Oryctolagus cuniculus: one gene and its partner. The protein of the gene in region 2 interacts with the protein of the main gene of each other region in a pairwise test. Links are inferred from orthologs where the notes say so. Each region holds a gene or a part of one and is shown on either strand. Other genes may lie near its edges. The genes, in order: SESTD1 and GPS2.

Evidence for each region.
Region 1: the proteins of GPS2 (region 2) and SESTD1 interact in binary tests that used the Homo sapiens proteins (3 or more experiments, as listed by UniProt). The two-hybrid records come from large-scale screens. The link is inferred for Oryctolagus cuniculus from reciprocal best matches to the Homo sapiens genes GPS2 and SESTD1.

The regions. Positions count from the first base shown.
Region 1 is NC_091434.1:61,871,628-61,875,917, reverse strand, and holds the start of SESTD1 (SEC14 domain and spectrin repeat-containing protein 1), read right to left. Parts: upstream 2,803-4,290; 5' UTR 2,516-2,802; intron 2,279-2,515; exon of another isoform or gene 2,141-2,278; intron 1-2,140. UniProt on the Homo sapiens protein: May act as the primary docking protein directing membrane turnover and assembly of the transient receptor potential channels TRPC4 and TRPC5.
Region 2 is NC_091448.1:51,915,426-51,920,009, forward strand, and holds the start of GPS2 (G protein pathway suppressor 2), read right to left. Parts: upstream 2,914-4,584; intron 2,861-2,913; exon of another isoform or gene 2,617-2,860; intron 2,496-2,616; 5' UTR 2,426-2,495; coding exon 2,332-2,425; intron 2,044-2,331; coding exon 1,934-2,043; intron 1,863-1,933; coding exon 1,750-1,862; intron 1,629-1,749; coding exon 1,549-1,628; intron 1,473-1,548; coding exon 1,390-1,472; intron 1,229-1,389; coding exon 1,075-1,228; intron 997-1,074; coding exon 907-996; intron 819-906; coding exon 739-818; intron 639-738; coding exon of another isoform or gene 617-638; coding exon 521-616; intron 385-520; coding exon of another isoform or gene 381-384; coding exon 39-380; 3' UTR 1-38. Other genes in the region: NEURL4 (neuralized-like protein 4), read right to left, coding at 3,411-3,615. UniProt on the Homo sapiens protein: Key regulator of inflammation, lipid metabolism and mitochondrion homeostasis that acts by inhibiting the activity of the ubiquitin-conjugating enzyme UBE2N/Ubc13, thereby inhibiting 'Lys-63'-linked ubiquitination.

The DNA of each region.
Region 1 (4,290 bases), on a different chromosome or scaffold from region 2:
CCTCATGAATTGCTGGTGAAAACATAAAACAGTTTAGCAGTTCCTCAAAAACTTAGAGGAACCACAGACACAGTAACTCCACACCCCAGTATATTCCCAAATGAAAATATCTACCCACACAAGAACTTGTAAATGAGTGTTTACATTATCCATAATAGCCAAAAAGTGAAAAATCAAATGTCCATCAACTGATGAATGGGTAGATACAATGTGGCACAGGCACAGCATGGAATATTATTCTGCCATTAAAAAGGAATGCACCATCAACCCATGCTAAAATACCGATGGACACTGGAAGCATGAGGCTAAGTGAAAGATGCAAGGGTCACATGTTGTATGATTCCATTTATATGAAATGTCCGAAACCGGCAAAACCACGTAGACAGAAACAGATCAGTGGTTGCCAAGTGCAGGGGAGAGGAAACAGCAGCCAGTGGACACAGGTTTCTTTTCAGGGTGATGAAAATGGTCTTAAATTAGCGCTGATGTTTGCACCGTCTTGTGACTATATGAAAACCACCAACTGTATGCTTTAGAAGAGTGACTTCTATGACACACCAAATTATATCTCAAATAAAACTATTATGGAAGTTTAAGCTTAAGCTACTTTTTATTAGTGAATATCCCTGCTTTTCTCAAGAGGCCACTCCTGTTTCTTGTAACAGCTATAAAAGCTCTTTGAAGTAAGATATTTCACAGATGAACAGTATGTTTAGAGAAGTAAACACTACCTTCTCAGAGAAACTTCCTACAAATCAGATGTAGTATAATTTTACTTCTTCAAAAGAAATGCTCTTTTCAAGGAGTCTGTGCACATGTGATATTTTCTATTTTTTAATTAGCAAATATTTAGCTTTCAGATACCTCATTAGTAAGATCTCCTGTTTAAAGAGTTATTAAGCATCAATGAATTAAAACCCAAGTAGATGTTAGTTTCTCCCCTCTCTTTCTGTCCCCTGCACTCTGCTGATAGATTCCTGGTACTTGACTAGATCCTAATCTGTCTGTCAATGAGTCCTTCCAATCACTACGCCCAGAGGAAAGGACTCTGCGAACTCTTTAAATGTGATCAACTCACTTTTCTAATGTTGGGGAACTTACTAAGGGCAGGCCTGAATTTTTAGGTTAGTCTAGAATGTTGGAATAAATATTCAGCAAAATGATTTCCTGGAATTTGAGAAATAAAAACAATCAATAGAGTTGTGTAATGCTTTCCAGGTCCTTTGGGAATTCTTTCATAGTGTAGTCATGGGGTAAAGACAGGCACCAACTTTTGTCCACAGAAAGTAATAAGTTTAAAGGCTTCCTGGTTCTAGAACAAAGAAGCATTTTCTTGCTCAAAGCAAAAACGAAGGTATCTTCCTTCTATTTAGTATTGTTATACTAAAATAGCACACCCATGAAAGCAGCTAGGTAAGGCCTGACACAGGCTATGTAAACAAAGACGAACTGTTCTTTGGTGGGTTCTGACACCAAGAAATCAGGACTGACCACGCCAACAAAAAGCCCCTTATGGATGAAGATTTTCCCACACGGAGTACTCCGTGTATATTCTGAGGGCTTGCCAAGCCACGCTGGGATGCGCGGTGGGCACGCCTGGCACACACCTAACCTGATGACCTGTCAAGCAGCTGCTATCCAGTTACTCCCAACTTCTGGGGATGTCTGGGTCTCCGGGAGACATGTCAAAACCCTCGGGGCACGCTGCACGGGGCTGTCACACACAGCAGCCCCCAGCCCAGCCCCTGCGTCCCACGCTGAAATCCCACCCGCACCCTCCGGAGCCGGCCACGCTGCGGCTCTTTCCGAACACGAGGCTACCTAAAATATCAAAAATAAACAGAGAGCCATGGATCCCAGCCAACCCATTCCCTCCCTCCCCTTTGTGACTCCGGTAACCTCCCGCAGGCCCGGGGAAGCCAAGCCCCACGCGGCGAGGGAGGCATCCAGGAGCCTGGGCTCAGCCCGGGGGGCCTCGCGCCCGTGTCCCCCACCCACCGGGCAGGACTGGTCACCGGTCACACAAAGGAACCGCCGCGGGCGCTGGACGCGGGGACTCGCCCCGCAGCCGGGCGCCGCGTCTGCTCCCAGCACGCCGGGAGGGCGAGACCCGCTGGAAAATAAGGATTAACGCCCAGACCTGTTGCACGATTCGGGTCCCTTTCACCCCGAAAGGAACAAGGGCGCTCAGGAGGGGAGAAGCGCGCAGCCCCGGCTCTCGGGCTCTGCGGGCCGCTGCCGCTCCCGGGCAGGAGGCGCAAGAAGCAGGGGCGGCCCGCGGGCTCCCACCTCCGGCGCTTTGTCTGCGGAGGCGGCCGGGCGGAGAGCGGGGGCGGCCGCAGGGCAGCGGGGCCGGCAGGCTGGAGGCGCCCCTCCCTCAGCGCGCGGCCCCGCCGCCCCGCGGCCCGCGCCGGCGAAGAAAGCCGGGCCCGCCGCCTCGCGCTCGCCGCCCGGCCGCCGGGCCTGCGCGCTCCTCCCGCCTGGGCCGCCCGGCCGCGAGGCGGGCCACACTCACCTGGCCGGTGCTGGCGCTGGCGCTGGCGGCCGGCGGCTCCGGGGCTTCGGGGAGGACACGGGGACGCTGGCTAGGCGCGGGCGGAGGCGGAGGGCGAGGCGGGAGGAAGGCGGGCTGGGGGGCGGAGCGGGCCTGGGTGGCGGCGGCTCCAGTCACTCGCCGCAAATCGCGTCCCGGCCCCTCCGTGCGTCAGGCGGGGGGCGGCGGCGGCGGCGGCGGCGCGGGTGGCCCGGCGACCTCCCGGCACCCGCGGCCAGACCCGCGTCCGCGCGACCTCGCGCGCGCTCGGGCGGCTGCGGCGCGGCGACCCCGCCCGGCGCGGACAGGGGGCGGGGCGGGAGCCCGGCGGGCGGCTGGGGGCTGGGCGGGAGTGGGGGGGGGGCGCCCACGCTCCGGGTGGTCCCCACCCCTCGCGGAGCGGCCAGCGTCCGGCCGGGAAGGTGGCGGGAGGCGGGGGGAGGGGGAGGGGGTGGTAGAAGGAGTCCTGGGGTCAGGAGCCCTGGGCTTACGAAAGGTCCCGCTGCCCGGCATCCTCGCAGGGTATTTGCTTCCTCTGACCTCATCCTGAGCTACGTGTGTCTTCGAGTGTAGGGTCTCCGACAGCTTCAGAATTCCAACGTCCTCAGCCTCACTTTGTTGGAATTCTTGGCTTCCAGGTACCCAGCGCCAGGAGGTGCCAGGAAGAGGGGGTCTGCTGCGGCGTGGCTGAGTCGGGTGAAGGCGGCGGGGAGGAAAGGGTTGCGGTGTGGACATCGACTGGGCTTTGAGGATCTTCCCATTGGACAGTCCGAAAGGAAGCCACAAATGGGGCTTTCTGATCATGGCTACTTCCCCATGGTTAGCAGCCCTTGGGTTTTTTTCCTCCAAATGGACTAACTTCAGAGACCTCTTCCTCCTCTGAGTGCACAGATCACTTTTATGTCATTTCCTGAACTCGGCCGAGTCACCGCTGATCCACAGAAAATCACAGCCATGTGGTCCCAATCCCAGGCCTTCCATGATACCCACTCTACCACTCCCTTAAATCTCACCGAATTAACCCGGATAAAACCTCGCCAACAGCTGGGCAAGCGAGCTTCTCCCTCCTGAGGTCGTCTGATGTTAAACCCCAAGGATGACTCTTTCCTCTTAATTTCGTGAGGAGCAGTCTGTCCCATACTTTAACCTCTTGGCCACTTTTTACATCAAGCCTTCCTAAGTTAAGTTCTGCTTCCGTTCTCCGGTGGAGAATGCTCCAAAAACACGGAGGCAGCGTGATGCTTCTCTCTTTAGCATCCTTGGGACGCTCTCCACCTCTGAGGGGGAAGCAGGTGCAAGCTCATTTCCACAGAATCTGAAGTGTTTTATAATCTGATCCGCAGGGCTCCTCAGCTCCTTCGCCAGCTACTCCAACGCCACGCCCACGCGGTGCCCACAGATTCTGCAAGCTCCCTCTCTGCCTACAGAATTCTCCGCCTCCGAAGTCCATCCTTGGTTCAGCCTCGTGAGCTCCAGCTATCCTTCAAGGCTCCATTTCTCTCTGGAGTCTTTCCTGATATCCCTCCACTTTGCCATAGCCACGTGTTCACCCGCACCCCAAAAGGAAACACTCTTTTCTCTTTCATACAGCTCTTTGTCCTCTAGGATCATCTTTTTTTTAAAGAATTATTTATTTATTTGAAAGTCAGAGTTACACAGAGAGAGAAGGAGAGGCAGAGAGAGCGAGGTCTCCCATCCACTGGGTCACTCCCCAGTTGGCCACAATGGCACAGCCAATCCGAAGCCAGGAGCTTCTT
Region 2 (4,584 bases):
TGAAGCACCCAACTCAGCTGCTTACTTGAATTGAATGGCTACTTGCTGACTGGAAAGTGTACCTGGAAGCCAGAAATAAACTGAACTCTGCTTCTGGGTTCATTGTCACCAACTGTCATCACTTGGACTTGCTGTGGACCTGCCAGCCTCCCCCTCCCCCCAGGCAGCCGTGGAATGCCCCACAGCTGGGTGGGGGCAACACAAACAGCAGCAGCAGGGCCATGGCAGGTAGAGTTTATTGGCCTGGGACACACAAGGGGGACCCTCACCCGTGGTGGGGTTGAAGAGACTCTCTGGTGGTCACTTGTGGTAGAAGCGTGGGTTCTGGCTGTGTTGGATGAAGGGGAGCCGAGGGCCGGGCTGGCTGGTAGCTGTAAAGCCTGACTGGTGGAGTGACAGGAGGGGTCTGTCAGTGGCCCCTTCTCCCTCCCACTCAGACCCTGACAAGCATCCCAGGGCAGAGCAGGGCGGGGGTCGTGGCCACTTGTCCTGACCTTTCCCTGCTGATCACCACCCTTACCTTTCCTGCTGGCTGCATCTGGACTGGGAGCTGGGGGGAGGCAAGGAGTCCAGGAGCTGGATGCAGAGCCTGGGGGTGCATGGGGCGCAGGGAAGACTGCAGAGAACAGAGTCAGGACCTGAGGTGTGCAGGGCTAACCTTGCACAGTCCTAACGCCACACCCCCTGCCCCAAGGGCTCCTCACAGTCCTGACCCACACCCCAGGACCCAGTACTCACAGAGTCTGAGAAGCCAGTCTGCTGGTTAGCATGTTCCATCTGCTTTTGCAAGGACAGGGCACCAGCAGGCTGTAGAAACCCTAAGTGGGGGACAGGGGCGTGTGAAATGACGTGAGAGTGAGGACGGGAGGGGCTGGAGCTAGGGCTCCCAGTGGGTGTCCTGGTCACCTGACTGGGTGGGCTGGAAGTGGCCATGCACGGCATAGGGCTGTGGCTGAGGCTGAGAGAGGTACTGCACTGCAGGAAACGCTGACGGTGCTGAGAAAGGCAAGAGGCACCGGCATCAGAACTCCAGCATTCCTTCCCGGTTCCCAGGAGGGGCCCCCTAGCACTCACCTCGGAGCTGCTGGCTGGGACTATAGGCTGGCTGGGTGGGCCCGTAGTGAGGCGGGGGCTGGGCAGTCCCGTAGGCACCGCCAGGACTGCCTTGGAATTGCCCGTGCTCTGGTGTCCCTGCAAAAGCTGCTGCGGAGCCCACGTAGTGCCGGGTCTAGGGAGGGGGGACGAGAGCTCCATGGAAACTGGAACACAAACTCCGGACTCGCGAGCTCTGCAGACGCGAGGTGTGCTTGGGATGCTTCTCACATCAAGTACGCCAGGGTGGGTGTAGCAGGGCAATGGGCCTGGGCCCACTCGCCCTGCTTTTCTCACCGTAAGCACTTGGGGTCCAAACATCTGTTTGGCTCTGTCAGCTGCCATGAGGGTGCCTGGGCGGCTGTGTCCTCCGGGGCTCCCTAGGAAGGAAGAGCAGCTTTGTGACGCTGGAGTGGGGGGCTGCCCTGCCCGGCAGGTGGGCCCCTCAGCCCTCACCCTGCATGCTGAGCAGGTGAGTTCCCGTGTGCACCGTCAGGCTCTGCTGGTAGGCAGCCGAGGTCAGCGTGGTCAGGTCGCTGGAGGGAAAGGAAAGCAGGTCAGAGCCAAGCACAGGAGCCCCTCGCCATCGAGCACCAGTGCCCTGTCCCCGCCCCGGTGCAGCCGGCCCCGTTCCCACTCTCGGCTCCCCGATCCCACCTCTGCTCCTTTCGCCTCCGTTTTTCTTCCTCGTGCAAAACCTTCTTGAGCTGCAGGAAGAGCTGGTGCTTCTCCTCCTGCAAGGCCAGAAGCTTCTCCTGCAGCTTCAGGATCTGGGGGGGAAGGAGAGGATGGAGGCGCGGCTGCCGCGGGAGGAGCCGGGCAGGGAGGTGGCGGTGCGTACTTGCTCCTTGGTCTCCTCCAGGGACATCCTCTCTTCCATTTCCTTCTTCTTCCTCCTCTCCTGCTCCTCCCTCATCTTCTGTTCCATCATCTTGTCCACCTCCTCTTCCTCTGCAGAAGGGGGGGGGGGGAGCCCAACGTTAGCCACGCCAGTTACCCCGAGGCTCCTGCACGCTCCCTCCACCGCCACGGGACAGCCAGAGGGCGGCTTGATCAGGTGCTCTCCAAGGTCCTTCCCTGGAGCTTGGGAGCAGGTCTCTAACTCCCCGCACGACGTGGGGGTGTTCCTTCCCTCCTCTAACTCGGCCTCGCGCGCAGGGGTCGGCCCGTGGGCGGGGGCCGACCCTGGGCCAGCGCAGACACCCCGGGCGTGCGTCCTCCCACTGCGGCCCGGCTCACCCTGGCGCTTGCGCTCCCGCTCCATCATGATGTGCCGGTGGAGCGCCCTGGCCATGGCGTTGGAAAGCTTGGGGCGCTCCAGGAGCGCGGGCATGGTGCCGGTGGGGACGCTCGGGCCGTGGGCGCCCGGCTATGTCAGTGACTGCCAGACTTCGGGATGAGGCCTGCGGGGAGGCGGGAGCTCAGTGGGGGCCGTGGCCAGCCGCGGCGGAAGCCCGTCCGCCCGGCCCGCTCGCCGTCCGGGTCACGTGCGGCGGGAGCCCCTCGCTCGGTCTGGCCACAGACCCCGCTCCGCGGCGCGCCCCGGCGGCACCAAGGTCCCGGCTGGACGCTCCGGCCGCTCTCCTCCGCGGCCCGGGCCGCCCGCCCCTCCCTACCCGCCTTCTCGGCGCTCTCTCCGCGGCCCCGGCGCACCTCGGCCCCCGCTACGTCACATCCGGCGGCCGGGCCGAGTGCTTCCGGAGTCACGGCGGAGGCCGGCCTCGCGGGTTGGCCGAGGGAGAGGCGGAAGTGCACTGGGACGGGTGCCCGCGACGCCCAAACCTCGGCGCGGGGCGGCGGGGACAGAGAGGCTGAAGCGGATGCTAGGAGAGGGCGTTTATTGGCTCTTTAGAAATCAGTCAGTAACAACTGTACAGAGGGCCCCGTCGTCCTCGTGCCCGCCCGGCCCACGCCCGCCCGCCGGCCCCCGGAAAAGCAGCTTCATGTGGACACAGGGGGACTCCTGGGATTCACAGTAACCAGAAACAAAAACGGAAATAAATTAAGTGATATGGGGGAGGGGAGTAGTAGGGAGTCGTGTTCCCCAAATCAGTGCATGAAGAGGGGTCCCCTGGGCCCGGAGCTGGGCTCCCCGCAAGCTCCCCGCCATCAGAGGGAGTGTTCTGGGCCCCTGGACACGGAGGTGTGCTCCACTTCCCATCTGAATCTGAGAGCCTGTCTACACTGCAGTTCCTGCGCATCTGCCAACACTGAGCACCTGTGCATGCCATGAGTCACTGGAATGAGGTGGAGGCAGGCGTCACTCGGAGTCCGCGGGCCGAGACCCAGCTGTGCTTGTAGTAGTGGGGTCTCGCCCCTCATTCCACCCGTACCAGCAGGGCATAGAGGAGTATGGCCCCCTTCTCCTTAGTGACCCACTCAAGTTCGGCCGCGCCGAAGTGGGGGTCCGGAGGTTCTCTGTGTGCAGCGGAAGGGGGGCCCGGGGTGTAGGAGCCAGGGCGCACACACACCTGGAACGCCACCTGAGCCCGGTGTGTCCGCTGAGACTTGGGGTCCCGGAATCTGTCGGGCAAGAAGCAGAAACGGGAGTGAGGCCTCCGCCCCAGCCACACTTAGGGTTTGCTCCAAGGAAAAGGCCTTAGCTCCAGCTGTTCTGTCTACCCCAAAGGCTCTGCCTCCCACAGCCTGTCCGGCCACAACCCTCACTTCCCCTTCCTGTGACGCCTACCCTGCCCGCCCGATTTGAGAGGCAGAGACAGCGAGACAGACAGACAGAGCTCCCATGTGCTGGTCAGTCCTCAAATGCCCACAACAGCCAGGGCTGGGCCAGGACTGAAGCCAGGAGCTTAGGTCAATCCAGGTCTGCCCCAGGGGTGGCAGGAGCCCAGTCACTGGAGCCATCACTGCTGCCTCCCACGGTCTGCATCGGCAGGAGGCTGGGGCCAGGAGCGAGCCTGGAACTGACCCCAGGCACCGTGAGCCCCGAGATGACCCCTTGTAATGTGGCTGCTGCATCAGCATTTCCCATCCGCCTCACCCCACTCTCCTTCCTCTGTTTCCACAGTATTGACTCAGCACCTTTAAAAATACCAAAGGCTGGCCAGTGCCGCAGCTCACTAGGCTAATCCTCCGCCTGTGGCACTGGCACCCCAGGTTCTAGTCCCGGCCAGGGCGCCGGATTCTATCCCGGTTGCCCCTTTTCCAGGCCAGCTCTCTGCTGTGGCCCGGGAGTGCAGTGGAGGATGGCCCAGGTGCTTGGGCCCTGCACCCCATGGGAGACCAGGAGAAGCACCTGGCTCCTGGCTTCGGATCGGCATAGCGCGCCGGCCGTAGCAGCCATTGGGTGGGTGAACCAACAGAAAAGGAAGACCTTTCTCTCTGTCTCTCTCTCTCACTGTCTAACTCTGCCTGTCAAAAACCAAACAAACAAAAACTAAAGGCTTATTTTGTCAGCATCCTGCAGAGACGATTTAGGCTCCACAGAGCAAGGTTCCCTTCGTCCATTTATGATCACCAAATGCAGAAAGGACC